Linked DNA regions of Daphnia pulex. The main gene of each other region encodes a partner of the protein of the gene in region 2 in a complex. Links are inferred from orthologs where the notes say so. Each region holds a gene or a part of one and is shown on either strand. Other genes may lie near its edges. The genes, in order: GATOR complex protein WDR59-like, GATOR complex protein MIOS-A-like, nucleoporin SEH1-like and GATOR complex protein NPRL3-like.

What was found.
Region 1: GATOR complex protein MIOS-A-like (region 2) and GATOR complex protein WDR59-like share a complex: the UniProt entries of both Drosophila melanogaster proteins name them as parts of the GATOR complex. The link is inferred for Daphnia pulex from reciprocal best matches to the Drosophila melanogaster genes mio and Wdr59.
Region 3: GATOR complex protein MIOS-A-like (region 2) and nucleoporin SEH1-like share a complex: the UniProt entries of both Drosophila melanogaster proteins name them as parts of the GATOR complex. The link is inferred for Daphnia pulex from reciprocal best matches to the Drosophila melanogaster genes mio and Nup44A.
Region 4: GATOR complex protein MIOS-A-like (region 2) and GATOR complex protein NPRL3-like share a complex: the UniProt entries of both Drosophila melanogaster proteins name them as parts of the GATOR complex. The link is inferred for Daphnia pulex from reciprocal best matches to the Drosophila melanogaster genes mio and Nprl3.

The regions. Positions count from the first base shown.
Region 1 is NC_060019.1:12,026,426-12,033,593, reverse strand, and holds the end of GATOR complex protein WDR59-like, read left to right. Parts: coding exon 1-61; intron 62-122; coding exon 123-327; intron 328-396; coding exon 397-680; intron 681-794; coding exon 795-945; intron 946-1,009; coding exon 1,010-1,089; intron 1,090-1,162; coding exon 1,163-1,235; intron 1,236-1,310; coding exon 1,311-1,628; intron 1,629-1,721; coding exon 1,722-1,924; intron 1,925-1,989; coding exon 1,990-2,168; intron 2,169-2,252; coding exon 2,253-2,380; intron 2,381-2,461; coding exon 2,462-2,498; intron 2,499-2,571; coding exon 2,572-2,773; intron 2,774-2,878; coding exon 2,879-3,054; intron 3,055-3,141; coding exon 3,142-3,339; intron 3,340-3,414; coding exon 3,415-3,538; intron 3,539-3,948; coding exon of another isoform or gene 3,949-3,989; coding exon 3,990-4,013; intron 4,014-4,185; coding exon 4,186-4,348; intron 4,349-4,413; coding exon 4,414-4,504; intron 4,505-4,612; coding exon 4,613-4,709; intron 4,710-4,774; coding exon 4,775-4,928; and 4 more. Other genes in the region: G-protein coupled receptor Mth2-like, read left to right, coding at 5,922-6,053, 6,129-6,803, 6,876-7,014, 7,085-7,168. UniProt on the Drosophila melanogaster protein: A component of the GATOR complex, which functions as a regulator of the amino acid-sensing branch of the mTORC1 signaling pathway.
Region 2 is NC_060021.1:9,126,056-9,133,749, forward strand, and holds the start of GATOR complex protein MIOS-A-like, read left to right. Parts: upstream 1-4,873; 5' UTR 4,874-5,030; coding exon 5,031-5,160; intron 5,161-5,218; coding exon 5,219-5,671; intron 5,672-5,726; exon of another isoform or gene 5,727-5,734; coding exon 5,735-5,927; exon of another isoform or gene 5,928-5,998; coding exon 5,999-6,215; exon of another isoform or gene 6,216-6,271; coding exon 6,272-6,387; exon of another isoform or gene 6,388-6,460; coding exon 6,461-6,646; exon of another isoform or gene 6,647-6,711; coding exon 6,712-6,816; intron 6,817-6,876; exon of another isoform or gene 6,877-6,886; coding exon 6,887-7,113; exon of another isoform or gene 7,114-7,172; coding exon 7,173-7,306; exon of another isoform or gene 7,307-7,373; coding exon 7,374-7,512; intron 7,513-7,570; exon of another isoform or gene 7,571-7,581; coding exon 7,582-7,694. Other genes in the region: tubulin alpha-1 chain-like, read right to left, coding at 1-721, 804-825, 897-957, 1,429-1,431; tubulin alpha-1 chain-like, read right to left, coding at 2,145-2,195, 2,262-2,507, 2,569-3,538, 3,635-3,656, 3,731-3,791, 4,262-4,264. UniProt on the Drosophila melanogaster protein: An essential component of the GATOR subcomplex GATOR2 which functions as an activator of the amino acid-sensing branch of the mTORC1 signaling pathway.
Region 3 is NC_060020.1:7,748,241-7,755,463, reverse strand, and holds nucleoporin SEH1-like, read right to left. Parts: upstream 4,600-7,223; 5' UTR 4,425-4,599; coding exon 4,314-4,424; intron 4,251-4,313; coding exon 4,094-4,250; intron 4,036-4,093; coding exon 3,884-4,035; intron 3,809-3,883; coding exon 3,462-3,808; intron 3,400-3,461; coding exon 3,239-3,399; intron 3,166-3,238; coding exon 3,002-3,165; 3' UTR 2,858-3,001; downstream 1-2,857. Other genes in the region: meckelin-like, read left to right, coding at 4,713-5,025, 5,105-5,370, 5,426-5,617, 5,679-5,963, 6,024-6,145, 6,208-6,367, 6,440-6,501, 6,577-6,799 and 2 more. UniProt on the Drosophila melanogaster protein: Probable component of the nuclear pore complex (NPC). Involved in maintaining the localization of another nucleoporin Mgtor to the nuclear envelope of early meiotic female germline cells.
Region 4 is NC_060022.1:6,640,112-6,647,955, reverse strand, and holds GATOR complex protein NPRL3-like, read right to left. Parts: upstream 5,263-7,844; 5' UTR 5,153-5,262; coding exon 5,122-5,152; intron 5,052-5,121; coding exon 4,962-5,051; intron 4,892-4,961; coding exon 4,785-4,891; intron 4,709-4,784; coding exon 4,532-4,708; intron 4,473-4,531; coding exon 3,567-4,472; intron 3,495-3,566; coding exon 3,229-3,494; intron 3,168-3,228; coding exon 2,999-3,167; 3' UTR 2,576-2,998; downstream 1-2,575. Other genes in the region: kinesin-like protein KIF2A, read left to right, coding at 1-71, 132-285, 343-535, 604-801, 870-1,004, 1,059-1,235, 1,300-1,432, 1,492-1,646 and 3 more; uncharacterized protein LOC124195566, read right to left, coding at 5,441-5,807, 5,910-5,986; eukaryotic translation initiation factor 3 subunit D-like, read left to right, coding at 6,597-6,684, 6,740-6,846, 6,906-7,048, 7,108-7,465. UniProt on the Drosophila melanogaster protein: An essential component of the GATOR subcomplex GATOR1 which functions as an inhibitor of the amino acid-sensing branch of the TORC1 signaling pathway.

The DNA.
Region 1 (7,168 bases), on a different chromosome or scaffold from region 2:
GGAGGTTGGATCAGCTGAATGGAATCCACACTCACATCTTTCACACCTATGTGCCATATCGGTATTTGTACTACTTCAATGTTGCATTTACCATGCAGATTTTTGAACAGTTTCTGTTATAGAGCAATCAACGAACAGAGATTCTTTCATGGAATTCTATTGACTTCACACCTCTCTATTGTTTACGTTTCCACACGCGTGCAGTCAGCGATTTAAATTGGCATCATTTTGAACCTTATCTCTTGGCTTCCTGTTCAGTTGACACTTATATTAACATATGGGATATTCGAGACCCTCGAAAGCCATGCGTTTCCCTCTCTGCCGTAGGTAAAATAAAATGGGACAAAATTTAGTATAATACAAATAGGATCTGTATAGTCTAAATATTGTTTACAGTTGGAGCTACTCAAGTGCGATGGAACCGCGTTACCAGCCATTTACTAGCAACTGCTCATGAGGGAGACGTTCGACTATGGGACTGGCGGAAAGGGAGTTCCCCCGTGCAATACATTGCGGCACATTTGCACAAAATTCATGGGCTTGACTGGAGTGCTAACCAAGAATATCAGCTTGCTACTTCCAGTCAAGATTGTACTGTTAAATTCTTTGACGTAAACAATCCCCGTGTAGTCGAGAATGCCCTTAGAACCGTGTCTCCGGTTTGGCGAGCGCGATTTACTGTAAATATGACAATTTCTTAATTTTTTTTTTTTTTTTTTAGTTATTTGTGTGTGATAAATCAATAGTTAATAGAACTACTAATTAACGATATTTTTTTTCTTTTGCCTGTATAGCCCTTTGGCGATGGCATGATGACAACACAATTACGACGAGGAGAAAACAGTTTGCTACTTTGGAGTCTATCCGATTTGTCTAATCCGGTTCATTCGTTTCTTGGGAATAACGATCTAGTTCTTGAGTTTGATTGGAAATCTTCCCGTTCCGGTATAATCAAACGTTCAAATTTAAATTTTTGGACTTTGAAATTATTTGATTTTTATATGTTTAGATGACGACGACTATCAACTTATCACCTGGTCAAAAGATCAGAGCTTACGAATTTGGAGAGTGGATGTTAACCTTCAAAAAGTAGGGCGAATTCAAATTTCAATTATTTTTCTGGTTTATGTAAAAAAATATTTAAAAATATTCTTTTTGCCAGTTATGTGGCTATGAACCTGAAAATCAACCACAAATCGTATATGAAGAAAACGAATCGACTTATGACGTTACTGGTGACATAAATTCATTAATTATTAGCATGAAAAATCTGTTTTATATTGTATTATTTAATTATTTAATATGTTCAGCTGTTGACGCAATTTCAACAAAAAGCGACAAAGACATTGAAGTTGGGCTTGAAGTAGTGGAAGAAACCTATTTAGACCTTCACCATAGTTTGGCACCGTCTATAATTGTACCTGACTCGTTACGCCTAGCTGGACATAAAACTGTAGCAGCCTCTATAGCTGCAGCACAAGCTGTACTAACCAACACGTTATCACCAACATCCCATCGGAAAAAGAAGTCTGCGCTGTCAATAAACAGTAGCATCGTCGGAATAGATGCGATTTCTCAACCTGAACATTATTCATTCAACAAGGAAATCGACCAACTTAAGTCATTAGGTAAATTTATGTCCCAAATGAACTATTAGTAATTAACTGAATACGTAAACTTTTCCCTGGAATAAATTTGTGGTTATTTTTCTGTTTCTTCAGGTTCCATTGGTACTGATAACTCTATCAGTGTTTGCGATGTAGACGAGACACAACGAAGCTTAACAACAGTGATTCGCACTGCAAAGCATCAAATAATACTTCATATTTCTATGCCTCCATCGTATCCCGACGGAGCGATTCCAAATTTTCTATTCGGAAAAGGAACGACTATTGACAACAATGCCAGAAGCAAAATGTTAAAAGTATTTCGAGAGAGTTTATTCTTGCGTAACTCAAAAGATTTATTTGACACGGCGGCATTGTACAGGTTTTGAAACAAGCAGCAACTCTATCGTGCCGCAAAGGTCATCCGTCTATAGAGCTCGTGCTACAACAACTTCTAATTTCAGTCGATCAGTTAACACCAATTGATAAGTCAGAAACGGAATCGTCAAAGACCATAACATTGAATGTCAACTCATCAACTACCGGAAATACTCCTTTCAGGTAACATTTAATTCGTATTTAGTTACTTAGATGAAACGTATATTCAATATGCTACTAAACATAATTAACGAATCTGTTTTCTAGGTTACCGCAAACTGGTCTTGGGCATCCTGGTTTCCTACAGAATGGCGGTTTATTTGGTAGTCTAACTCATCATCAAGACCACAATATTCCATACCCTCGGTCATCCGGTGCTCGATTTTGCAGTGCTGGTAATGTCATTAAAACAAAAAACATAAAAATATCCTTCAGCAAACTGCTATATTGATTTGCCCTTGTTTTATTTTATACAGGTATGCTGATTTGTTTTGGTCGACCATCCTATTTAAGGTTTTTGATTAATTGAAATGATTAATCGTACGACTAGGAATTCATCAGTTCTATTTTATTTATATAATTGAAGGCGTGTGAACAGTAAAACTTCGGACACTTCAACTACACCTCGTTCTCTATCCGTGAACCAAGCTTATTCATCAAACTTGGTACAGCATAGCTTGGTAGCTTCATCAAATACGACTCCTTATGGATTGTTGTATCCGCCCGTTGCTCAAAGTCCGACCGGTGATCCGTCAGTCAGCATCTCGTCTTTTTATAACCAAGACAGGGTAGGCTATACTTGGAAGTATTTCCGTGATTGCTGACATTAGCCTTTTATTAATGAGATAATTCCATTGCTGATTAAATAACAAAATATTTTGTAATTCATTCAGAGACAGAAATCTCGAACTTCTAAGTCGAAAAATAGACTTTCCTCTTATAGCTCGTCTTCAGACGAAAATAAAAGGGGAGCTCAAGAGGCACGTCATCATAAGGTGGTCGGAATGGTGACGATTTACGATGCTTCTGGATTGATGCCACAGCAGTTAGAATTAGCAGAAAGATATGTGTTAGTTTATCTTTTATATATTTTCTTGTATAATAATTCCTTGAATCAGATTTAGTCATAGTTTCATTACATATTTTTATTCACCAGATTTAGCGATACTGATACGGCATGGATGTGCAACCAAAATGCAGCGGTTGCTGCGCAGTTTGGCAGAAAAGATTTGACTTACATTTGGTCGTTGGGTGCCCTTCTGGCAACTCCTACCTTGATACACGAAAATAATACCAATGACCTTGATACCCCATGGGCTCAAAATCCATTCGGCCGGAAGCTTCTTCATGCGATGTATGTATATGTGTATTTATTTGATCTCTTTAGCGTATACTTAAAACAACACACCAACATTATAATTTATTACAGTATCGACCACTACGTGAAATTACGAGATATACAAACTGTAGCCATGTTGTGTTGCGCATTTGGTTACAAATGTGATAGTCAGGAAACTTTCCGGCGTAAAACAACACGATCGGAATCGGGCAGCGTAAGTGTAGAAGCTTATTTTAATTTTTTAACATGAAATCTGGCATTCTGAAACTTGGTATCACGATTAATAGCACTAGAACCGATAAGCAAGGTCTTACGTTTGATTGTTAAAAAGGTGATCGTCGGATTGGCTTTTCTCTCGAGTGTTCTGATCATAAAATCTTTTTTTATTCTAATTTCTTCGTGCTCGGCTTCCGTTTCCTGATTGCAATCTGGTTTCGCCTTCCTTTTTCAGGGGAATAATTGCATTTCAAATTCTTTGTGGTCTGTCCTTTTGTTTTTGGTTTTTTTTTTTTTTTTTTTTTTTTTTAACTAAATTATCTTGCTCCATAATATCGCTACTTCTTTGTCTCAACATGCTCTCTCTAACACTGTGGCTTATTTCCTTGGTGCTGCTGGGATTTTGAGAATGCTGACTGCGGGATATCAATGAGTTTTTTTTCCTACAGCGCAACTTACGGTGGGGTTTAAAGGTAGGCATATATTCCTCTAGATTTTACCCCCACGTAAGTGTGATGGTTTTTTTACATGAAAAATATCTAATCACAATAGTGGAGAATATGAGTTTTCCTATTTTTCCTCGCTTTTTTCTCTTTTAAGCTCTTATGATGAGTGAACTTTAATTATTCTGATGTTCAACATTAGCCAGGAGAATCACCGTATCATACAATACACCCGGGCGACACAACTTTAGATAGCTGGAATGTCTTAAAACAAATACGTTCAAATTCGTGGTCGGATTCACTTGATGATTTTCGTCTTGCAACTCCTGGAATTAACTCTGTCCCAAGTGGTCGCCCTTTGCCAAGTAAGGGCTTCTCCTTAAATTTTTAGAAATGTTATCAATTTTGTCTGAATGGGTTTTTATTTCAGTCGCTTCCATTTTCCTACCCCACTCTGTGACGAGCGTCGTTTCAGTGAATGGGACTGATGGAAGTGAAGAGTATAAAGACAAGGATTTCAGGTTTGAAATTTTTAATAATTTTGAAATTTTGATCGCATTCACATCAAGAGTTTTTATTGTTGTTGAATTTCGTAACTAAGCGTTTTCTTTTCTCAATTTGATTTCAAGATTACTAGATCCGAAATTTAATGGATTATTTGACAACTACCGTCGATGTTATGCTGATATCCTTTATCGCTGGGGACTTCTCGAGGCTCGCGTTTTGGTATGCGGATTAAAAATAATAACTTCTTGGCCGTACTTCTTGAAAACCAATTTTGTCTATTCAAGGTTTTGAAATATTTATCCACTCCCATTGATCCTCATAGAGGCGTGGATTTCGTAACTGAGTGTGTTCCTTGTAGGACTACGGTTAGAGGGCCGCAATGCACCCTTTGCAAGCGTTTGCTTCTCAATTGCGTTATTTGTCGAGTTGTTGTAAAAGGTAACTATCTTAAAACCATCTAGTAAATATCAGTCATGTAATAGCGTTAGAGGTGGCATAATGGTTGAATCATTTATTTTCAGGCTCTGCGAGTTTTTGTCTGGTGTGCGGACACGGTGGTCATGGTAGATGCATGTCGCATTGGTTCACTGAAGAAGACGAATGCCCTACAGGATGTGGTTGCAACTGCTTGTTGGAAAATAACACTGTGTTTTCCGTCTGATAATATATTAAATCGCATTAAATACGTTGAGACAAAGAATACATTTGGTTTACAAAAAACTTTGAAACTATACAAATTTGCTACAAAAGTAAAATTTCCGTTATTCTCAGGTTAAAATGTTAAATTTCTTTTTTATAAGAAACAAACGGAATACTTTTTTAAATATTTTTGCAGAAACAAAAAATATTATTAACAAATTTTTAAAAAAGTCCCGATAGGGATTCTAATTACGTTTCGACCCCAAAGCGTCACTTTATCGTTTCGATTACTTTAAAGTGGTCGGTCAACCCCCTGTGCAGTCCGTGACGTATTCCTAATACACTCATTTATGAACGCTCGTTACAAAAGTTGACGTTTTCCTAGCGAGTGATAAATGAGGTAACGTGTAATCAAATGTTGCTAACCTTTTAGGGGATTGTGGCTTATGATGTATAGAGGATAACGAAATTGGAGTGGGTCACTTCCGAGTGTGTGTCGAAACAAAACGGAACGACGGAGGTTGCGGTTTCTTGAAAAGGATAATTCACTCGTATGCACCAAATTACCGTTTGTCGAAAGTGACACGGCAGTGAGTTGCGACGCTCAAAACTGTCGACTAGTGAATCACGTCAAGTTATCCAAATCGTTCGGGGAAAAATAAAAATCCCTCCTTTCCTAAGGCTGAAATCATAAATGGTAGGTGTTGTCCAATATTTCCTAGTTTAAATTATGACATTTAACAATTATTCAACATGCTTCATTCCATGTCATGCAAAACAGGGAAGTTCATAATGCGGAATTTCAAATCTATTTTGGAAACATTTTACTTTGGTTACGTTTGCTGGATGTTGGTATTATCCAGCTCAGTATCGGCCGTCCACTCCAAGACGCCTTTGACGAAATGCTGTTTGAATTATCAAGCTGTAATTAATAATAATAATATACATTAAAAAAAAAAAAGATTTAAAATTAACAAATAATATCAATACAATCTGCAGTACATGGCGGAATTGGACGTCTGCCGCGATTGGAAAGGCTCCGTAACCCATTCGAAAATGTCCGCGGCCCCGCCCGTTTATTCTGTGGAGAGGAGTGCTGAACCCACTCCCGTCCGCGTTGAATCAAACAGTTTTCAAATGACGCATCGCCTCAAACGCTGCCCAAAAGGCTACGTTGGAATGAGTTCCACGGAATTCAGATTTTACGAGGACGGCTCCATTTTCAGCCAAGACGAACACGTCACTTACCAATCCGGAGACTTTTGCATCCAAGAATCCTTTCCTTCCGGACAGTTGATAGCCCGCTACTGCGTCCGAGATCCGTGCAACCGCACAGACACCTGCATCCGTAAATGCTGTCCAACCTTCAAGGCGTTCGATATTTCCACGACGCGCTGCATCAATTACTCGAGCCAGTTGAACGTGACGCTTTACAATCAAACCGGCTATTCGCTTAACCTGAAATCCGAAGAAATGTTCGTTCGGGACGGAGTAGCTCCACAGTGTAAAGATGGCTACAAGCACAAGCTTCTCAATCAACACGATTACCATCTGAGATCCAACGGTCTATTATTCGTATTCCCCAAAAAACGATGCTCTTCACAGAGTCAGACTGATGTTGACCTAATAACGGATGAATATTGTGTTGATTATTTCATGGACGTTGACGGCACGGTAACTAGATTTGAAAAATACCTGGAATTAATTTTTCCGAATTTTCAATAAGCTTTTGGTGTAATAATGTAGTCCGCTCAACATGCTCTGGTCTGTGTCGCAGCCGATGATACAAATCCTATTTATTCCATCTTCTTGTTCATCTCGTCTTTCTTCCTAGTCGCCACATTCGCCGTCTACGCCCTCATTCCTGAAATTCGAAACATCCACGGTTGAAATATCAATTTATGCGCATTTTGAGTTCCAAAAAATAATCTTGACCATCTATAACACTATAATAGGTGTGGTTATCATGTGCTACGTTGTCTCCCGAGCTGCTGCTTACCTGATTTTTGGCACTCTCCAATTGGTTGGCACAACCCGAT
Region 2 (7,694 bases):
GAGTGGGAAATGGATACGAGGGTATGGGACCAAATTGGTCTGGAATTCAGTCAAATCAACGTTCAGAGCGCCATCGAAACGAAGAGAAGCGGTGATGGAAGAAACGATCTGGCCAATCAGACGGTTCAAATTGGTGTACGAAGGGCGTTCAATATCCAAATTACGACGGCAAATATCATAAATAGCTTCATTGTCGACCATGAAGGCGCAGTCGGAATGTTCCAAAGTAGTATGGGTGGTCAAAATCGAGTTGTACGGTTCAACGACCGCAGTGGACACCTGTGGAGCAGGGTAGATGGCAAACTCCAGTTTGGATTTTTTACCATAGTCGACTGAGAGACGTTCCATCAACAAAGAAGTAAATCCAGACCCAGTTCCTCCACCGAAAGAATGGAAAATGAGGAATCCTTGGAGACCAGTGCATTGATCGGACAACTTTCGGACACGGTCTAGGACAACATCAACGATTTCCTTTCCAATAGTGTAGTGACCACGGGCGTAGTTGTTGGCGGCATCTTCCTTGCCAGTGATCAACTGCTCGGGATGGAAAAGTTGGCGGTAAGTGCCAGTGCGAACTTCGTCAACCACAGTCGGCTCCAAATCAACAAAGACTGCTCTTGGCACGTGCTTTCCCGATCCACATTCCGAAAAGAAAGTGTTGAACGAGTCATCAGATGCTCCCGCAACTTTGTCTGACGGCATACGCCCATCAGGCTGAATTCTAAAAATTTTAAATGATTAATTTGTCGTAGAGATAAAGCAATTAAAGGAAATGAATAACTAGACATAATATTTAATCTTACCCATGCTCCAGGCAATAGAGTTCTAAAGAATTATAAAACAGAAAGGGAGGGTTAAAAACCATTTCTTTCATAAACCATGTCTAGACATCTCACCCCAACAGGCATTTCCGATTTGGACTCCGGCTTGTCCGACGTGGATTGAGATACATTCGCGCTGTAAGGGGAAAATATGTGATTACATTAAACTTTTGAAATTAAAATATATTTTGACATATACAATGGGGCACAATAATTATATTTCCTTTCCAAAATAATTGTTCAGTAAGCACCGAATAACGTGTCAAAGGAAATCAGATCAAGGACATGCATTGTGACACCCTAACTGACAGGAAGTTTGAATCGCTACCGGCGACCATTTGCAATGATGCATAGGGCGCCAAGGGCGGGACCGGCATGCGGTCATGCTTCATGCACTTGGGGGCCATTTTAAAGTCAAATTTTTGGAAAACTCACTAGAAAAATGACAAATTTGCTATTGTAACTCATATTAATGGCTCTACATGATCTCATAGAATTATCAGTGCATCCGTGTTACATAAATCCTAACATTCATACGACAAGATAGCTAGTTACATAAACATGTCACAGTTGAATTGGAAAAAGAAATAAAGTTTTAGTAACATACCATTTTCAGAAGTGATTTGGAATGGATTCGAGTTAACTTTAATTAAAGTGGTAACAAAAGCGAGCGTTTATCACTGAGCAACGAAGTAATGTCGTCCTCTGTGGAAAACGGGTCTCGGGATACTGATAAGAGTAACGGAAAGACTGCGATAAAGAAAACGGAGAGCCTATGCGTCACCTGGCGGTTAGAAAATGTCACTTTTTGAATTCACGTTTAACAAGGCCAAAACGTTTTCCTGCGGAGCTTTAAGAGACTAGAGACATGGCAAATACTCGTTCAATAATCCGGTTAAATATTATCAGATTTTACCATTAAACTTTTTTAAAATAAGAATATTTTTAAAAAAGGTTTCTACCAGTTCTACTGCTATGAAATAATTGCTTTGTAGAATGTATAATGGTTTGAAACATAAATGTCTATGGCGATTCTTTTATATTTTGTTTACTTCTCTGTTCATTTTTTGCAAAGGCAGCTCTTAAGGAAGACATGATAGAGATCCGAAAAATTTTGAATCGCAAATGCCACTGTACTTTGGAGAATTCAATTTTTGGTTAGCGTGTAAAATTAGAAATAAAGATCAAGAAGAAAATGCAACACCAGAATTTTCATATTTGATCGAAAGGCTTTAAAAAGAAGAGATGGAGACACGAAAAATACTAATCAGACACCTGAAGCTAGGTTAAAAGGAACCATGTTTTCTTAGGTAATAAATTGGTTTAATATTCGTCGTTGCCTTCGCCCTCGCCTTCAACGGAATCCAATCCCACCTGGAATTTTTTAGAAAGCAAATGATAAGCAAGTAACTTAAATATGAAAAACACATTAATCAATACCTCCTCGTAATCTTTCTCGAGAGCGGCCAAATCTTCACGGGCCTCGGAGAACTCTCCCTCCTCCATACCCTCACCGACGTACCAATGGACGAACGCACGCTTGGCGTACATCAGATCAAACTTGTGATCCAAACGAGCCCAGGCCTCGGCGATAGCAGTCGTGTTGGACAACATGCAAACGGCACGGGAAACCTTGGCCAAATCACCACCAGGAACGACAGTTGGGGGCTGGTAATTAATACCGACCTAATAATAAACAAGATGGATTACAATACTACTGTATGCAATTACTCTAATGCAACCATACCTTGAAACCAGTTGGGCACCAATCAACGAACTGAATGGAACGCTTAGTCTTGATGGTGGCAATAGCAGCATTAACGTCCTTGGGTACGACATCTCCGCGGTACAACATGCAACACGCCATGTATTTGCCGTGACGGGGATCGCATTTGACCATCTGGTTGGCCGGCTCGAAACAGGAGCTAGTAATCTCTCCGACAGTCAATTGCTCATGATAAGCTTTTTCTGCGGAAATGACCGGTGCATAGGTAACAAGCGGGAAGTGGATACGAGGATATGGGACCAAATTGGTCTGGAATTCTGTAAGATCGACGTTAAGGGCTCCATCGAAACGGAGAGATGCCGTGATGGACGAGACAATCTGCCCAATTAATCGGTTCAAGTTGGTGTAGCTGGGTCGTTCGATATCCAAGTTTCGACGGCAGATATCGTAAGTGGCCTCGTTGTCGACCATAAATGCGCAGTCTGAATGCTCCAGAGTAGTGTGAGTAGTTAAGATCGAATTGTACGGCTCAACGACGGCAGTGGAGACTTGAGGTGCTGGATAAATGGCAAATTCCAATTTCGACTTCTTGCCGAAATCGACAGAAAGTCGCTCCATTAAAAGTGAAGTAAATCCGGAGCCAGTGCCTCCGCCAAATGAATGAAAGATAAGAAATCCTTGAAGACCGCTGCATTGATCGGACAGTTTGCGCACTCGATCAAGCACCAAATCAACAATTTCCTTTCCAATGGTGTAGTGGCCTCGAGCGTAATTGTTGGCGGCATCTTCTTTTCCAGTGATCAACTGTTCCGGATGGAAAAGTTGGCGGTAAGTGCCAGTGCGAACTTCGTCAACCACAGTGGGTTCTAAATCGACAAAGATTGCTCTCGGGACGTGCTTGCCCGAACCGCATTCAGAGAAGAAAGTGTTGAACGAGTCATCGTTTCCACCAATGGTTTTATCTGAGGGCATACGGCCATCAGGCTGAATTCTATATGGGTTACATAATTAATGTTGCATGGAAAAATCAATGAAATTGACATGTACGCAATAATGAAAATCTTTGTAGTTTGTAAAATATTCTTACCCATGTTCCAAGCAATACAGTTCTAAATTAATGAATAAAAAAAATTACAATTAATTAAATTTCTTTTTAAATTTCGGTTTACGTTTTATTTATTACCCCAACAGGCATTTCCGATCTGGACTCCGGCTTGCCCAACGTGAATTGAGATACATTCGCGCTGTCGAAACAAACAAATTTGATTAGTGCTTGCATTGTATCAAGTGACGTCATTAATCCGAATTAGACGAGGAACTCTTCGTAAAACCCTCCCTTTTCAATCAAATTTAACAGAATTTTAAGTGCCAGATGTAACGTAACACCGGACATTCATTATTGATTGGGGGGGAGAGCAAACAGGAAATCCGAGAAATTTCAGCTGGCGACCATATGGATAGATGCTGGGGGCACCGACAACGCGGACCGGTAATGAGACTTTGGGGGGTAGCCATTTTTAGGTTATTTTGGATGTCGCAAAAGAAAAAATCGCAGCAGAAAACCGATAGTTTCGCTAATACAATTAGAGGTCAAACTATCGCGTGATTTAACGCGCAATACTGATTGTACGAAAGGGATTGTGACGACATTTCAAAGGATTACTACACGCACCATTCTCAAAGTAACCCAAGCACATTAAACGGACGAACGTACCATATTGAGAAGTATTTAAAGCTGCGGATTGACTATGTAGTTTGTCGTGCGTGGGATCGATGAGCGTCTTTCACAGAGCAACGAAGTGATGTCGTCCTCTATGGGAAAACGGTTCTCGGGATACTAAAGGAGATCGAAGAGACGGAGAGAGCCTGCTAAAAATAGCGGAAAAAGAAGAGACACCTGGCGGTTAAAAATGTACAGCCTTCTTGAAAATACGAATTCTAGTGGTTTAACCGGTGAAAAGAGGATTTAGCGCAGTCAAATATGAAAGTTGGTTTTGATGCGAGAATTCTCACAGTATTTCAACAATCAAGTATTGAATGTGGTTATCGCAGCATAAAGAGAAGCAAATAATGAACTGTCTGAAGAAGGAAACAAAATTACGTAGAAAGTTATAGAGGTTCGTTTAATAAAGATAAAGAACCCATTCACCTGGATATTGCTGTGACTGCGAAACAATATACTGTATACCAAAATTCGCAGTTTCCGATTCGTTCTGGTCGATAGCGGAATTAACTGGGTCGCATGCACCAAGCGAAACTAAAATCTGTTTACGCGCCTAAAAATGCCTACGTGCGAGACGTGATTCGTTCATTTACACCTAGAGGGCTCTTAGCGTTGTAAACAATTGTTCGTCCCTCATCGCCACTTACCGATTGTTGAGCAATTCCAAATTTTTTAAATCCTTTATCACGTCTTCCACCTGGTTGACATTGATTCATTGAATTTTGTGTTTTCCGTACAATAAATAAAGATCTCTTTTCCAATGGCTGGTGGGCGTTTGGAAGTATTTTGGTCCCCTAATAGCCAGGACAAATTCATCACTTGGGGGAGTGATATTTGGCTCTATCAAGTTAAAAATACTTCCGTTAGAGATGACATCTCCTCGACCCATAGTAAGAAACTATATTACCTTACGATTATCATGTGTTTATATTTTATTTTCTATTTCAGGCTTTCAGATATCGAATAGTAGTAGGGCTTACCAGCTAGGTTGTTTAACAGATGTAGCATTTGCTAAATGTCTGGCATGGCTCCCTGTACCAGAGCTTGAAGGAGTTATTGCCATTGGCCAGATGAATGGAAGAGTTTTGTTAACATCAGTACTTGGTTCTGGAGAAACTTCCCCCTTAAATGGAAAAGAATATGCATCAAAACATAACAGACAGTGCAACACATTAGCATGGGGTCTAGCTGAGCCTTATGTCCTTGCAGCAGGGTTTGACAAACACAGATCTGAACATGGATTGATCTTGTGGGATGTTACTAAAGGTGGGAGTGATGGTAACAGACCCTTTCTGGAATCAGCATTTGGAGACACAATTACTTCTGTAACATGGTTCAGTCATTCACAAACAATGGCAGCTGGGGTCAATAACAAGCAACTTCGTCTGTATGATTTAAGAGGTAAAAAAGTTCAGCATGATTTCTTACCATTACAATAGTAACACTTTTAATTTACTTTTCCAGATGGACCAAAGCACACAAGTTCAACAAATACTCGTGCAGTATTTTCAATCATTCAGGATCCTTTTGTTAATCACAGAATTGCATCATATAGTGATAATGCCATATGCATTTGGGATGTAAGAAATTTTGAAAAGCCTGTTCTTTCACTCCAACAGAATAAGGCCGTTTCCAAGATATCCTGGTGCCCCACTCAGTAATTCCTCAAAATTATAGGATGGAAAAAAAATACTGTTGAATTAATGTTCAATTTTTTTAAATCAACAGTCACAGTTTCCTGGGAGTCTTGTGTAAAGAGAGCACTTCTTTGTCCTTGTACGACATTCAGAATGCCAACGGTGTAGCGGCAGAAGAAATGGAACCCATTCCGTTGGAACGTGGATTGATTTTGACTGATCAGCAAAATGAAACCATATCTTCTTTTGCGTGGCATTTAAACGAAGAGAATCGATTACTTTATTCCACAACATCACTTAATATTAGGGTATTTTATCAAATAAACGTATTGATGATAGATGTTACCATATTTATCCTTTTCAGGAGCATATAGTTGTTGATCGAATCACGCTTAATTGGTCACCATCGAGTAAACTTGTATGGAATTGCGGCAAAAAAATATTGCAGTACATCGATGAAACTGATTCCGTCTATACCAGGTAAGAATTTTGGTTTTGCATATTTAAATTTGACCACCCCTACCTTCTCTGAAATGGAAAACTTCAAATTTAGGTTCGGGGATGTTTCGGTAACAATGCGCCAGCGGGCAGTTGAAGGTTACGGACTTGAAGCTGATTTCAAACCTGATTCAGAATTAATGCAGGATGTAACGACCAGGGAGCTCTGGTCCTGGGTCGATACTTGCCGGAAGTTGGCTCAATCAGGAAATCCGCTAGGAGTTCACTTTATGGGTATTAGGTAAGGAAGTTCACTCGAAATCTGAATATATAATTTGATATTAAAGATGGAAAAACTCTCGAAAGGTCTGCTTTGCGTTTGGATACGGATGGAGTTCTAAAATCAGAAGTATTCCACGTTCCCTGGAATGGTGTGGAGTCCGCAAAAATTTCACCTGTCTGCGTCTACAGGTAAATATATCTTTTGAAGAAAAATTAGTGGACTACCTATTACAAAACCAAAAAAATTACGGCTTTTTAGGAGTGAAGAACGGAACCAAGCATTGCGTCTGTGTGGTTGGCCGTACGATCCTGAAAATTCCATATTGGGACCATTGCTAGAAAAGCTTCAAGCGGATGCACAGGTTTCTCGAGCCGCTGCCCTGGCTGTTTTCCATATGAAGATTCGTAAAGCCATAAAGATTTTGACTCGTAGTGGTGTACAGAAAAATCAAGTGTCTTATCAGTTAGTCGCCCTCGCCTTAGCCGGTAAATTTGAGTTTAAGTTATAGTATCATTTCCATAATTTTACCTTTTTCTTCTACAAGGATTTACCGATAATAGAGATACGCTGTGGCAACAAGAAATATGCAATATGAATAAAACTGCTCTGGATGATCCATATCTGCGAGCAGCATTTTCTTTTTTGACCAGTCCATCGGAAAAATACGAAGCAGTCTTGGTATGGGATCATCCATTTAATCTACTTTGATATTTATAATTGTAATTTATATTTGCTTTAATAATAGAACGAAACAGGAATGACTGTTCGGGATCGAGTGGGGTTCGCTTGTTGCTTCTTGTCCGATACTCACCTAAGTGAGTATGTTGAACATCTTAATCGGCAGTTGACCAGAGAAGGAAATTTGGATGGGATGCTTTTAACGGGTAAGTTAAAATAGCTACTTTTTTAAACTTAAACTAGAAGTTTAAACATTGTCATTACCATCATTCCAGGTTTGTCAGGTGAAGGACTGAATCTGCTTCAGAGTCATGTGGACAAATCAGGTGATATTCAAACAGTCAGTCTCCTCAGTTTACATGCTTCCAATCTTGAAGTGAGTAAAGAC
Region 3 (7,223 bases), on a different chromosome or scaffold from region 2:
AAATAAATAGGTTGTTCACAGTCAATCGGATTCGAAACTGATAACATTAACAGTCTACAAAGTTCGTTGAAAGAACCAGAAAACTTGTAATGTGAGAGGAATTCGATAGGACCCGTTTCGGTTGAAACTCGATACCGACTGTCGGCACGCGTACGGATATTCTATCATGATACAGTATGTTACTCTCTCAATTAGTATTAGGTCACGTCGATGGGGGCTAAAGCTGCACAATACCTACAACAAACATGATGGTTTTCTTATTGGTTAGCGTGTTAGCACACGGTTGCCTGCATTTGAATGGATTGCGCTCTTTCAATAGATTACCGACAAAAGAGCAGCGCCCAACACAAACATTCTTTCTGCTTGGATTCATTTTACCGCTAACAAAAAACTTTTCCGCTCTCGTTTCTCGAAAGGTAAATCACCCCCCACATTTTTCAATTTAAACTAAATTTTGTAGTGAAAAGCAACAGATACACACATACTGTAACGGATCATCAGATGGTCTGACTGCATTTCAACATAAAATTTCGTACGTTGGATAATAATTAAAAAATCTTAAATTAATCAGCAGCAGTTTTAGACATGAAAGTAGAATTAGATTTAGCATAATATTTATGGATAGTTGAAAATAATACATACTCTTTTGGGGGACATGTTGAGTGCCGCGGCCAACTCGTTGACGTCGTTGCTACCAAGATAAGGAGACTGCAGAAACTTTCTCTCCAATGCCCCCACCTCTGTTGTAGAGAAGGGTATGCGCGGATTACGGTAACGGTTCCTTAAGTTCATTTCTCTTTTAGCACCTTTAGAAATATTACATTAGTTAACAAAATGTCTCTATCTCTATTAACAGTGTTACAAATGACTCACGTGGAAGCTTCGGAGGTCGGTAGCGTGTACAATAGACCCAGGAAAAGTTGGGATCGCTGTGATCGCTGATGGACCTCGACTTGGATTCGGAGGTGAAGATTTCCGATGAAGTGACAACAATCGCTGATGGTGTAGATGTTCGAGACGATAGGATTGCTTCAATGCTGAAATCAACTTTCGGTTTCGGCCTAACGGTAATTAACTCGATTGGTTTGTCTACAGCAGCCATGAAAACTCCTTCTTGCGGCAGTCTGTTTCTAACAATGTTTTTATTAATCGTGGACTCCTCTGTTGTGGAACCTTCTTGATTAATTTCCTGCTCTTTGTTGATCATTTCGGAATCCATCTTCTAGGTTCGAAATAATGCACACGTCTAAATAGATTTGCTTGAGTAAGAGCTCCGACAACTCAACATCACTGGGCGACAATCTTGCTAACTAATGAAACCGATGGCTGACCCGCGAACGGCTTTGGTTTTCCTTAGTCGACAAGATAGATGTATCAAAGGGAGGAGCTTGCAACTAGCACCCTCAATAACCAGTGTTACTGGAAGACTAGGCTATCATATCACATTGGTTTCGGGGGATGTAAAGCGAGAAGAATGGTATGGCTTTTTCATGCTGTGATCATTGAGGTGAATAGCATCGAAATAGACAGCGGAGGTAATTGGTAGGCCACCTATACATCTGCCCGATGGCTATGAGCTAACAAGTACAGATGCAGCCGCCACGGTTGATGGACAGTGATTTCACATGCCGCACCCGCACACCCTATATTGTGTTATAGCTATGCCGAACTAAGCAACAGAGTATTATTTCCCCGCAAAATTGAAAATTTTTGCACTTGTGTTCTGAAAGATTCATAAAAGAAGCAAACGAACAAAGTTTTTTAAATATAAGGGGTAATGCTATAAACGGAAAACTTGGCAAAGTTCTGTTATTTCCATGAATTTGTATGAGTTAGTCCCAATTTAGTTTGTAGTCATCGACTTGAATATCATCACTTTATCTGCGGGTAACTACGGGTAAGACTAAAGACGAACAAGATATAGCTGTAGCCGTATTCACTCGTCAATTATATAGATTTATCATTGTTGTTATTTAATATAGGATGTTTTCGTCTGATTTTAACCAATTTTAACAAGGTAAAAAGGGCATGAAGTATGAGATCCGAGAAATTGAGAGTTTGTCAGATAATATTAAGAAAACTGATCGCTTTGTTTTTAATTAACACTTAGGTACCAAAGATGCATTTTACTATTTTCGGTCATCGTGCTGATTACACACAGTTTTATATCTACCCATGCAAACTGTGATGCAACTCGACGAGGCAGTCCACTAATTAAGCCATCTAGATAATTACAACACTTAAACAGCGTATTTCTATTTGTATTAACCTGCTAACTTCAAATCTAAAAAAAAAAACTGTAAAGAGAATGAAGTTCACTTGCTAGAATTATACAAATTTACCGGAAGGAACTGATAGCTCAATTTCCCATGTTTAAAAATGATTTTTTTAAAACTAAAATCGTAAATTTTTGTGATGGCTATCACTAGTTTAGGGAAAATCACGAATAGGATGATTTTCCTATATTTCCTACAGACACATGCAATCGACCCAAAATTTGACGAAGATCACAAATCCTTAGTTCTTTTCTTATTTGCGTCAAAATAATACTTACTGATAATATTTACGGAACTACTGACTTTTAAACTGGAGGTAGACAAAAACAAACGTTTGCAAAAATCTAACAGGTGAGTTTTGTAATATTCAGTTTTTGTCAAAAATCACAAAAATGACCTTACAGTTTATTGTTGTAAATGTCCTTAGAGATGTGTAAATGTATGCAGTAATGCAGCTGAAAATGATCAAATCATTTGAATCATTTCCCTCCTAACAAAAAAACAAATAGCTACTCTACTAGAGAAAAGTGTTTTTATAACAACTTGACCCTAAACGAATGTGACATGAAAAAATGACATAGTTTAAAACTCCATATCATTTCATTTATTTCTTCAGAACAACTTTCCATTTTCGAGACCATGGGTTTCTCCAGAAATGAAAACTCCCAGTTATTTGTGTGGATTGGAAGAGACATATTATTATCATAAAAATTGGGAAGTAAATGTTAGTGCCAGGGTACTTGATTTGGATTGCTGATTGCGCCAAGTTTAAAGTAACGAGCAGTTGCTGCAGAAACGGTTTTATCACGATCAGTTCCGTCTTCTGGACTTACACCCGATCCATCACCTTTCAACACGGCAATGCATTTCCAATTCTGCAAATAGTTGGCTGTGGAAATAGACAGTAAAAACAGCTGATTTAATAGGCCAGACATGGCATTAAATATTTCTTGATTTCTTGCCTTTCCACATTCTTAAACAGCCGTCATCTCCTGAAGAAGCTAGAATAGTTCCAGTAATGTTCCAAGAGATTCTCCAAACAGTAGAATGATGGTCATCAAATTGGGCTGCCTGCAGTATCTCCAACTGGGAAGTTGGACAAGCTGCTGCATAAGCATCTTTCCTTTAATAAAAAAAATTATAAATTTATTCTTATTCCATCCTTAAAATATTTTAACTACTTACTGAGGTGGTTTAAGAATAACTATTCTAACATCTTTGCTTGCAATTCCTAGAATGTGGTAACTTCTTCCCAAGTTAGGTGCAAATGCTATGTCATGCACTGGGTCGACTATTGTGTTGATAGTTTCAGCTTTAGACCAGCGATGGGAGCTTTCACTGTACTCAAACAGAAACACTTTTCCACCAGAGGCGACATTCGTGTCATCACTACCAACTGCCAACATTGGAGGATGGAGACGAGAAAATGACGGATTCCATGATAGACAAGACACAGGCATTTTCAGTGTTATTTCTTGCTGCAAACTCCATTGACTTAGGTTCATAATGTCTGGGGCTTCATATATTCTAACCTATTATGTTATAAAATTGACATTTTCATCTGGTTTATATATTTAACAATGTAATAAATATATCTTAGAACTTACTCCTCCATCAGCTGAACACATAGCTAACAATAGTCCCATGTGTTTTGGAGCAAATTTGATGTCAGTCACATTGGTTCTTGAATCTACCAAACTTGTCCTTTTCACCCAATGACTTTGGTTTTTACTCTGCGTTGAATTCCCTGATTCACCAACTGGATATGCATTTAGTAACTAATTTAAGTTGTTAAAATTGTAAAGAATTTTACAAACCAATTTCTTCCCAAATTGCAGCTGTTCTGTCAAATGAGCAAGTGGCTAAAATTTGACCAAATTCAGGATGAGCCCAATTTACTTTCCAAACAGAACCAGCATGAGTCTTCCAATCAGCAGTCAATCTCCATTCATCATTTTCATCCAGGTCAAAAACCTTGAAAGATAATTCCGCAATTTAGTTAACACAAGAAATTTTTTTCGATTTCTAACAATTTACTTTAACACTCTGGTCGGAGGAACAAGTAGCCAATCGACGCCCATAAAAATCATAAGCTACATCATGAATCAGGTCTTTGTGTTCAGCATTTATCGTTCTTGCTTGAAACATGTTTACAGAACTTTTTAAATCACTTCTTAATCACGAGAAACAAGTTTTTGCTTGCAAATTTCACAGAATTAAGAAAGCAAGAACGCAAGCAGCCGACAGCTCGACTGATCAAACTTCAAATGTATGGCACTATGGCAGTATGGGACAGTTGTGGGCGTTGCCAGATTGATTCATGAAAGAAACGATGTTTTTTCTGATATTGTTGGTTGGCTGACTTGGCTCATTGCTGGGGAGTGGTTGCTAGGTAACAAATATGCTTTACAAAACAAACAAAAATTTAAAGTGACGATGATCGTGTTAGTTGCTCATTACCTGCTTTTTTTCATCTTAAAGAAGGTGGAGGCTTACGATGTCATATTGTCTTCGTTTCCTGAAAGCTGCAATCGTTCCTCCTACTTTGATTCGATATCACATAAGTGCAAAGGTTGCGGGGTCTTTCAAATATCTTCCGATGACCGTTTGAGTTGTGAGTGTGGCTTTGGCTACTACCCTGAATTTAATGAAAAGTCCAAAGCAATTGAATGCTTACGCTGTAACCAATCAATTCAGTCAGAAATGTGTCTAAAAAGCAATCTCACGTGTGAACCGTACGACATCAAAGGTATGAAAAACGCACATTTACCTAGGTCCTATCTGCTAAGTATAGTAAAGAAGAATTAATTTCTGAATTTTTATCACAGTCCTTCAAATTACTGGAAATATTACCTCCGCACGATGTCTGAAATGCCCGCTTTGGCATCAGCCTGATGACACAAAATCTTCGTGCGTTCCTTGTTCGAACATGTGTCATTGTCCTAGTGAATACGAAGATGTGAACGGAACTTGCGTCAAAGATTTATTCACGATTCCCGAAACACCCACTATCTTTACATATAACTTACACGGGAGACCTTACATTTCTAATTATTTGCGGAATTGGGTTAGATTGACGGCAATTAAATGCAAGGTAGGAATTATTTACCATGTTTGTGCTATTAAACACCAATTTTTTTTCTTTAAAGGCACACGGTGGAGGAAAATACTGCGAACATCTGATCAATCTCTGTGTCTTAACGGATTACAACTACGATTCTCAGTCAGCTTGCTCTCTTTATCGACAATTATCTGGAGGCTTTAGCAATTCAATATACTACGACGATAGTCAAAACGAATATCTACTAAACTCCGCCAGGATAAACATACTGAAAGATCAAGTAGCATCTATAACTTTTACGGACTAAACAGGAAAAGTTTTTCATTAATGACTTTTTTTAGAAAATGGATTTTATGGTTAAACAATACGCATTAGATGGTACATATTTATTGATCCAGCCTCTTCAATCGGTTTTTAAATCATTGTGCTGCACTGGAACTTGGAAACCAATCCAACGAAATGCCAATATTTATCACAGCTGTTCGGTTTATTCGAAAGTTTTCAACATGGCTGATATGCGCTTTTATGAAATTTATTTCGTTGATCGGGCAATTAATCAATCAAGATTGATCAACGTTCCAATAAAAATATTGAACCTTGTTCGCGGAGGCGTTCAACGTAATAGGGTAAGTTTATACGCTCAGAAAATACAACATTACTACGGTACTAAAACCTGATGAACAAAGGAGGATAAAGATATTTCTCGATGGCAACTCACAAAGAGGTTCTTTAATTTTGACTCGGCAACTGGAAGTAATCAAGAAGGAAACACCGACTTCGTCCGATATCTATCTTCTCTTACTATTAGGTAAGTTTTTTCATTATAAAAAAAAAGCGAGAACAACTTTGAAACTTGAACGCATTTCTTAGAATTTCTGTTATGTCTGGTGAAAAATCACTAGCATTACGATTACCTTATGCAACAATCAACTACGAATCTATTGGTAGCCTTGAGAATGGAAATTCACCCGTTATTCATTTCGCTGTAAAAAATACCGTTAGTATGGATGAAGCTATGAAATCTCTTGAGGTAGAAATTATCACATTGTTCCTCGCATTCACAATCACGTTATCAATAATGAATTTTTTGGTTTATCAATAGATTGCACTGAGCGTGTTGAGCACTTTCGGGGCTCTTTATGCTTTGATAAGGATTGTCGTATGGTATGTACTGGCAACTTTGGATAATTTGATTAGCTAACTTTGATTGGGTTTTCACTAATAATAAATAATTTCCAGGTACATAAGATCAGATAAAGCAACAATTGATCTTCAGACTCTAATTCGCTTGTTGGTCTACGGAGCAGACATATTGGCCAACGTAATTTTAATAGTGATTTTCTTCATCACTTTTTACTGGTTTATGACCTTTCGACAACAAGAGGAAGTGACTGTTAGTCTTCCTGCAAGGCAAGAAGAACAGTTTATTAAAGACCTTGTCATTAGTGCTTTCACGTTAAAGGTCTGAAATAATTGGAACTATTCATAGTCAGGTCATTTTAATTGTATCCGATTGTATCTATGGATCCTTTGCAGACGATTAGTGTATTATGGATGATCGGAGAACAATGTAACGTCGATATTTTTCTTATTGACTGGGAGAGTCCGAGGCCGACGAAAGGCGAAATAGTTAGCGTATGGAGGATGTTCTTTGTTGCTAACGAATGGAACGAACTTCAAGTAGCGCGTAAAAGCTCTATATCCATACAGGTCATTCTAGTGTTATCGACACTCAAGGTATAATTAGTGAGCTGTGATTATAATGAAGCGTGAAAATAAACACCAGTCATTTGGTAGGTCTTCCAGTTTGAGCGATTTTCTTTAGAAATTCCAGCTACTTATTTCATGGCAGACACGTTTTTAAATTACAACACAGTGTTGCGCCT
Region 4 (7,844 bases), on a different chromosome or scaffold from region 2:
AGAAAACTTGTCACCTGGATTACCAAATTTTCATACAAGAGCACAACCAACAGTGACAAACAGTATGGCAAGTATGTTGTTTTAGTAATAGTTCATAGTTAACAATCATTTCTTTAAATTTTTCTTTTTAGCAAGACGGCGTACTAATCCCATTAAAGAAGTGGAAAGGTTAGAGAAGAATCGTGAAGAAAGAAAAATCCGTAATGCAGAGTCAAGAGAAGAGAAAAAGACAATGATGAAGAAAGATCCAGGAAATGTTAACTGGGAATTTTCTGCCATGATTAAGTACAATTTTTGTCTTAGTTTACTATTATTAAATCTTAATCATTTAAATTTTTTTAGGGAATTTTGTGCTTCATTGGATTACCATCCTATTCGTGATACTGATTTTCTTGATATAGGAAACTCTGATCCACAGATCACTGTTTGTGTTCGAAAACGACCAATGAACAAAAAAGAAACAGATCTAAAGGAAGTTGACATAGTATCTATACCTGACAAACAGAGAATTATAGTACATGAGCCAAAATTGAAGGTAAATAGTTAACTAGTCCATATCTTTTTTCTAATCTTGATATAACAACTTGCTATTAACTTTTAAAGGTTGATTTGACCAAGTTTTTGGAAAACCAGCTATTTCGATATGATTATGCCTTCGACGAAAATTGCAACAACGAAATAGTCTACCGATGTACTGCACGCCCGTTGGTACGCACACTTTTCGAAGGAGGCATGGCCACTTGTTTTGCTTATGGTCAAACTGGAAGTGGTAAGACGCACACTATGGGCGGAGAGTTTCTGGTATTTTATAATAGAAAATTGTTTTGCCACGTTAACTGTAGTACATAACCTAATGTGCTTTCATTCAGGGGAAGAATCAGAATTGTGGTAACGGAATTTATGTTTTAACGGCAACTGATGTTTTTAAAAATGTTCAACAGCCTAAATACCGCGACCTTAATCTTAAAGTATCGGCATCGTTTTTCGAAATTTATTCAGGAAAAGTAAGTTTATTTACACGCTTATTCTATTTCACCGTTATTCAAGATTTTTCTTAGGTTTTTGACTTACTGAATGGTAAAGCAAAGCTACGCGTATTGGAAGATGGAAAACAACAAGTTCAAGTAGTGGGTTTAAGTGAAAGAACTGTTGAATCTGTTGATCAGGTTCTGGATCTTATACGTCATGGTAGTCGAATGAGGACTAGTGGTCAAACAGCAGCAAATGCAAATTCGGTAGTGGTTTAGTTTAGGATAGTGTAGGTTCCTCTTTTAATTGTCTTTCATTTGGTCATTGTAGTCACGTTCTCACGCTGTGTTTCAAATTATTCTGCGCACTGGAGCTGCTTCTCGGCTTTATGGCAAATTTTCCCTTGTTGATCTTGCTGGCAACGAACGTGGAGCGGATACTAACTCTTCGGATCGACAGACAAGTTAGCTCTCATTTTAATTCCTTGTGTTATTTTATTTCAAGTGATTTATGAGTTTTTAGGAATGGAGGGCTCAGAAATCAACAAGTCCCTATTAGCGTTGAAGGAATGTATCAGGGCTCTTGGGCGGCGAGGAGCGCATCTTCCCTTTCGTGCTTCGAAGTTAACCCAAGTGTTAAAAGATTCTTTTATAGGAGAAAAATCCAAAACTTGCATGGTAAATTTCAATACAGCGGTGATAAATGGATTAATATGCGTTTTAATTTATTTATTTTCTTAGATCGCAATGATAAGTCCTGGTATGTCCTCTTGTGAGAATTCACTGAATACACTCAGGTATGCTGATCGTGTGAAAGAGCTAGCAGTGGATGTGAGTGATCCCTCCGAAAATGAACCAAACCTGTTGAAATCGAGCCCATCATTCTCGGAGCCTAATCTACAATTGATCATGGTTCGGAAGTTTATTTTTATTTTTTTTGTGTTTCATTATTCCAGCTACAATGGTATTTTAGGAAGAAGAAGAAGAACTTTCGGCAGAATTGTATTCATTTCATGAAGCGGCATTCCGATTACAAGAGATGGAGGAAGATGTCGTTGAAAGTCATCGTAATTTACTTGAGAGTTTTCCGAAATGGCATGAAACGATTGCTAAGCTAATCGAACTTCCCGATCAACTTGATTTTGATCTTGAAGGTTTGTCAAGTAAAATTATTGTTTACTCTTATTTTCTAACACATGCAACTTCTTAATTGATTGCAGCCTATGTTTCGAAGATGTCTACTGTACTGACTGAGTTTGGCGATGATGTTATGTCTCTCAAAACCAAGTTTATCCAAGCCCGAAAAGAGTTGGAGGAAGATGATGTAGATAACCTTCGACCTAAGATGCTCCGCCATCCGAGATCAATGGCATACAAAGGAAATCAGCTCCGCGAAGCAGAACGTTGCGAATAATAGCAGTCGTTCAGCCGATCTCTTTATTTATCTTTCTACCTCTTTGAGCTTTTCCCGAAAAAAGATTCTTTAAACAGGTTTTAGCTTGTAATATTTCACCACTGTACGTCATCATCACTTCATTCATTGCCATCTATTTTGCTTCCTCATAAAGGTGAATATTACCATGCACAATTGTAAAGTAGAGCTAACATATGTAAAAGTAGATATATTTATTCTTGCTTTACCAAACAATTAGCAATCTCACTTTCTGCCAAATTTGATTCTAAGGATTTTGTAAAATATTTAGGAAAATTCATATTTTAATAGCAAATAAAACATATACTGTCCTGAGATAAAATTTAAAGTTTACAAAGGTTGAACAGGAATGCGACATTGGCCTATCTGTCACTAGCCCCCAACCGACTTCCTGACGTAAGATTACCTCGCAAGCTGCGATGTAGACACAGGTATTGAGCTACGGCAACAGTCGGCTTCGTAGGAGACCAATAGGGAGGGTTTTTGATGCGAGCTAGTGTTAACGCCAATGTTCACATACCGCTTTTAACTTAAATCAAGTGAAAACGACTTCCATATAACATTCACCAATTTTGATTTCCACTGAAAAATATGATATTTAAGTTGTAGAATTCTTGTAGAAAACGGAGCAAGCTGAATCTTCATGTTCGAATGTAATGAGAATAGTTCGAAATTTGTCAATAAGGTGAAGTAGGTCCGATCTTCGAACATTTTCCAAGTACATGATTTCCTCTAGATGGTGTTTCCCGCGGAAATATTTGCAAAGCCTGTGTTTTCTTCTATTAGATTATTCATGAAAAGATGTTTTTAAATAATAGTTTAGCTTACCGAGCAAAAAGTTCCAAGTCTTCTGAGTTGGCAGCGGCATCAACTTGAAGGACAGCCTCTCTTTCAGCATTACTCAGAGAGGCCGAAAGAATATTTTCGATTGACCACGGAGCTTTACTACTGATGCTCTTATGTGAAGGTGGACTGGACAAAGCCTCGTCACTAATAACAGAGGCCATGTCGCTATCGCTGGGCATTCGTGTAAGGCTGGATCCAGCATTCAATTCATCTGGAGTGGACTGGCGACTTGCAAACGTTACACGCGTCTAGGGGATAATTCAAACAATACTGTCTGATTTAACTACAGTAATCGTTATACTTTAAACACAAAAACTTACCGTTTTGGCACTACGAAATGAACCCTTGTTAAATGATCTCGGATGCATGTCATCAACGACAATATGTACATATGTGTGCAATTGTATGAGCAAATGATGTTGCAGCATCCAAATAATAATTTTAATTTCCTCTGATTCTTGCTCTGGAGTGGCGAGTGGATTCCTTCTCTGGCTCAATGATACAGGAACGGAAAATTCGGACATAATCTGAATTAAACAAGCACTATTGAACATTTCGGAGAAGACATCAGCAAGTTTGGATTGTGGGGAAGTGTTGGCACTGCCTGCAAGGACGTAAACATTGCTATCACAAAGAGGATATATAATGGTTGCGTGTCCAAAGTATAGCATGTGACCCACTAATTGAAAGACGTGTGATAGCGTCAAGTCAGCATCGGCTGCTAAAGTTTGTAAACTTTTTAGGGGATTCGCAAGATTTATGAGTCGTTTCAAAGCGGGGGACGAATCAAGAGGTAGATTATTGATGATTTTTTCTTTGTCCCCAAGCAGCAAAATGGCGTGGTATGGTCTCAATGCTTCCATGCAAGCATGAATGTCTGCTGGTTCAATAACAAGTCCAGGGTCAAGAAGGTGGTAGATTTTTTGAGGTAAACAGCAGCTGATCAGAATCCATCGATTGATGCGCAAATGTATCTTCCCAGAAATTTGTAAATCTTCGTAGACACGACGCAAGTCGCGCGCAAGCTGACTTCGTTGTAAAATTAAATGGTACGGCACATCTAGTGGATCATCGGGCAATTCCGAAGAAATGTCATCTTGAGTGGATGTCATGACCTTGGCTTCTTCACTCAAATATGCCACTCTACGCTCTTCATGCCAAAGTGCAGCTGCTATTCTCTTGCTTACTTCATGATAACAGTCAACTACTGCATGACTTGCAGATGCCTTAGAAGTGTAAAAAATATTGATGAAAATCATGCAAGTTTAAAATGGAATCTCTTTACCTTTAAGGCAAAAACTACATTGAAAGACAAAATTGATTCCTGGCTAGAGCCAGCAGATTTGCCTTCACCCTGGTGGTAAACAAGAAGTGGATGACCGACAAACCGAATGTCATTTATTTTTATTTCAAATTTTTTTCCACACAATTCTGATTTCACAGCAAACAAATTGGATAATACCTAAATAGTTGAAAAAATGTTTTAATAACCTTCAATGTTTCAAAACAGATTATATTAAGAGAGTATATTAACATACTTTGCTTGGAAAGCTGTGAACACTACCACTAATTGTACTGGAATATGCTGCACTTGTTTTTTGCATATCTTCAGCACTGATCTGGGGGTATGGAGTTTGCAGTTGCTCTATACAATACAACAGAGAAAAAACTTGGAGACTTGCGCTGGAAGTTATGGAGTTTCGTAAGGAACTTACTTGCGCGTGTACGTTTTGCAAAGTTTGGTGTAGCTTGAGTATCATAAGGATAGCGAAACAACAAACGATCACCTTTGCTACCGTTTTCGACTAAAGCCACGTTTGTTCCCATTAAATATTTTCTTTTGAAATAAGCTTTATCTGTAAATAATATATTTACCCAAAATTACCGCCAACGGATTGACATCCATGCTTCTTTTTCTATGAATTTTCTCGCTAACTTCAGGCGTTTAGAGGCAGAAACACCACGCAAGACGCAAACTGTCAATTTTTGAGATTTGCTTCAATTTTCGTCTGCATTCTTAAAAATCAAAAACAAAACAGTGCCATCTACGGTTTCTTCACAGATTCAACGTAAAAAAAATAAATAGCAAACAAATGATTTGAAAAGGAGAATCGCAAAAAATTTACCAAACAATAAACTGGTTTTTACTTAATGTATTTCAACTTCAATTAAATTATGTTTACAGATAGGAAATTCAACTATTTGTTGACAATTCATCTAGTCTCTTCTTAATGGCTACTGTATCCACTCCTTGGATATTGTGCTTCAAAGCCAATTCCAATTGTTTCTTCTCCAAACCATCAACTCTGTCATATAAACTTTTTCCAAGTTTATCATCAACATCATTTTCTTCTCTCAGGACACAAAACCACACTAGTATGGCAGTAACACTAGCTGAAATCACAAATGGCTCATACCATGGAGATTCACCAGTATTTCCTCCACCACTAAATGATTGTTGTGCTGACCATTTGGCAGCGTTTGAGTTGGAAAATGACAAAGGCATATCAGGATTTTCTGGTTGCTTAGTGGATCTACTGCAACAAGATTGCATAACAGTCCTAGAAAAAAATATACCATCATTATTTATTTGTCACATACTCATTTTCCATAATAAGGTCACACTCACACAGATGCACAAGTTAATATTTCAAAATTCATACCTCAGTTGTTCATTTTGGATTCCAATTTGTGTCCTTTTGAAATAAATAAGTCTATTGAAAGATCTAACAGCCAACATTTTTATAGTAGTAGTAGCCTAGTTACCCCATGGCCTACTCTATGGTTAAGGCCTGTTGTATCCACCATGGACTACTAAAGCTAGAGGACGGGACTCACGTCCTATCCCGCCGTGTTATAGCTTGTCGGGTGTATTTTTAATCATATTTTTTTAAGAAGGGTCAATCGATAGAGATTAAAAAAGCTATTCTAAGTCTCCAAAGCACCTTTCTTGTGAAGATATTAAATTAAAAGATATTTGCGGTTAAATTTTGAGGGGACGGGAGAGGTGTTCGTTGGTTGTCTCCACCTAGCGCTAAGAATTGTAAACTATGGTTTTTAGAAACAAACAGAATCCAGAGAATCACCAGAGAATCACAGATAGCAGACGCACCTAATCAAACCAAACCAAAACAAAACCAGAGAATCATAGAGTGGTAAACCAACAATCACCGCTAGGCGGCGACAACTAACGAACACCTACGTCAATTTCTAATTAAAATATCACCGAAATTAAATATTTATTTCCCGATAGGGTGTTTTTTTCACGGGGTTTAGGTTTTTTGGGGGGAATTTGTCAATATTTCCACCAATCATCAATTTCTCATTTTTCCACCAATCAACAATTTCTCATGAATCATTTTAATGGCATTAAAATAGATCATGAATACCAAGAGACTAAACACAGAGAACATTCCTTGTGTACTGACTTTGATGAAGGTTTGTAGGTTAAAACTTTGAATTTGAAATAAATAGTCTAATACTAAGTTTTCAGGAGGTGGTGTCCTGGTGGCACGTTGCGAACATGACGCTGTCACCGTTGGATCGGCTGGTGATAACCAATTTATCAACATCAAAGCTCTTAATGAATGGGACTCAAGGGTATGCATATTTACTGTTCGTAATGAAACTGTGTCTTTAAAATAATTTAGTACTTCAAGTTGTCTGGTGAAGTCGAATGGCGCCAGAAACTGGACACTCAGCGAGGTGCTGTTCAGGCCAACGAGCTGAAGAATAATGCATGCAAGCTAGCAAAATGGACTGTGCAAGCTCTGCTCGCCAACTCTGATTGGATTAAATTCGGGTATGTGAAGGCTCCTGTTGTCCTTCGAACATTATTGTAACTAATATTGTTTGCTTCAGATATGTTTCACGTATGCACTTACGAGATACATCGCGTCGTGTAATCCTTGGAACACAGCAGTTCCACCTGTCAGATTTCGCATCGCAAATCAACCTTAATATCGACAATGCTTGGGGCATTCTCCGTTGGATTAATTATTTGTGTATGAAGGAAGAGGATGGCAAATATTTGTTGGTGAAGGATCCTAACAAGCCCGTCATCCGCCTTTACAAGGTGCCCGATAACACGTTTGAGAGCGACGATGAAGCATTTTTCGGAGAAGGAGAAGGTTTGAAACCAATCAATATCGTAACGTGCGTGTGTAACTGCTGGCTTACTTTTATTGCTTGGGTGTTGGCCTCTCTTTTTTTTTACTAGCAAAGATTAAATAAACACGTCCAAGCAGTTAATCAAATTTCCCTACATTTGTACGCCGTGTTACGTTTTGCTTGAATTCGAAGCTCGAGCTTTGTATTTATGTATAATATCTAACCACTAGTGGAAGTGCTTGGCTTCTTGGGGGAAAAAAACCTAATTAGATATGCGACATGACTTAAGGTAGTTTTAAAAAAAGCGCTATAAAACGCATGATTTCATAACGACAACTACGAAATGGTAAATAACATGTACATGCACATGTATTCATTTTTTACACATGAATAGAAGACGAGTAACGGCTGATACAAACAAAAGAACAGCTCTTCCACTAATTCCCCAATCTACAACAATACTACGTTTGTAATGATCGTTACATGGA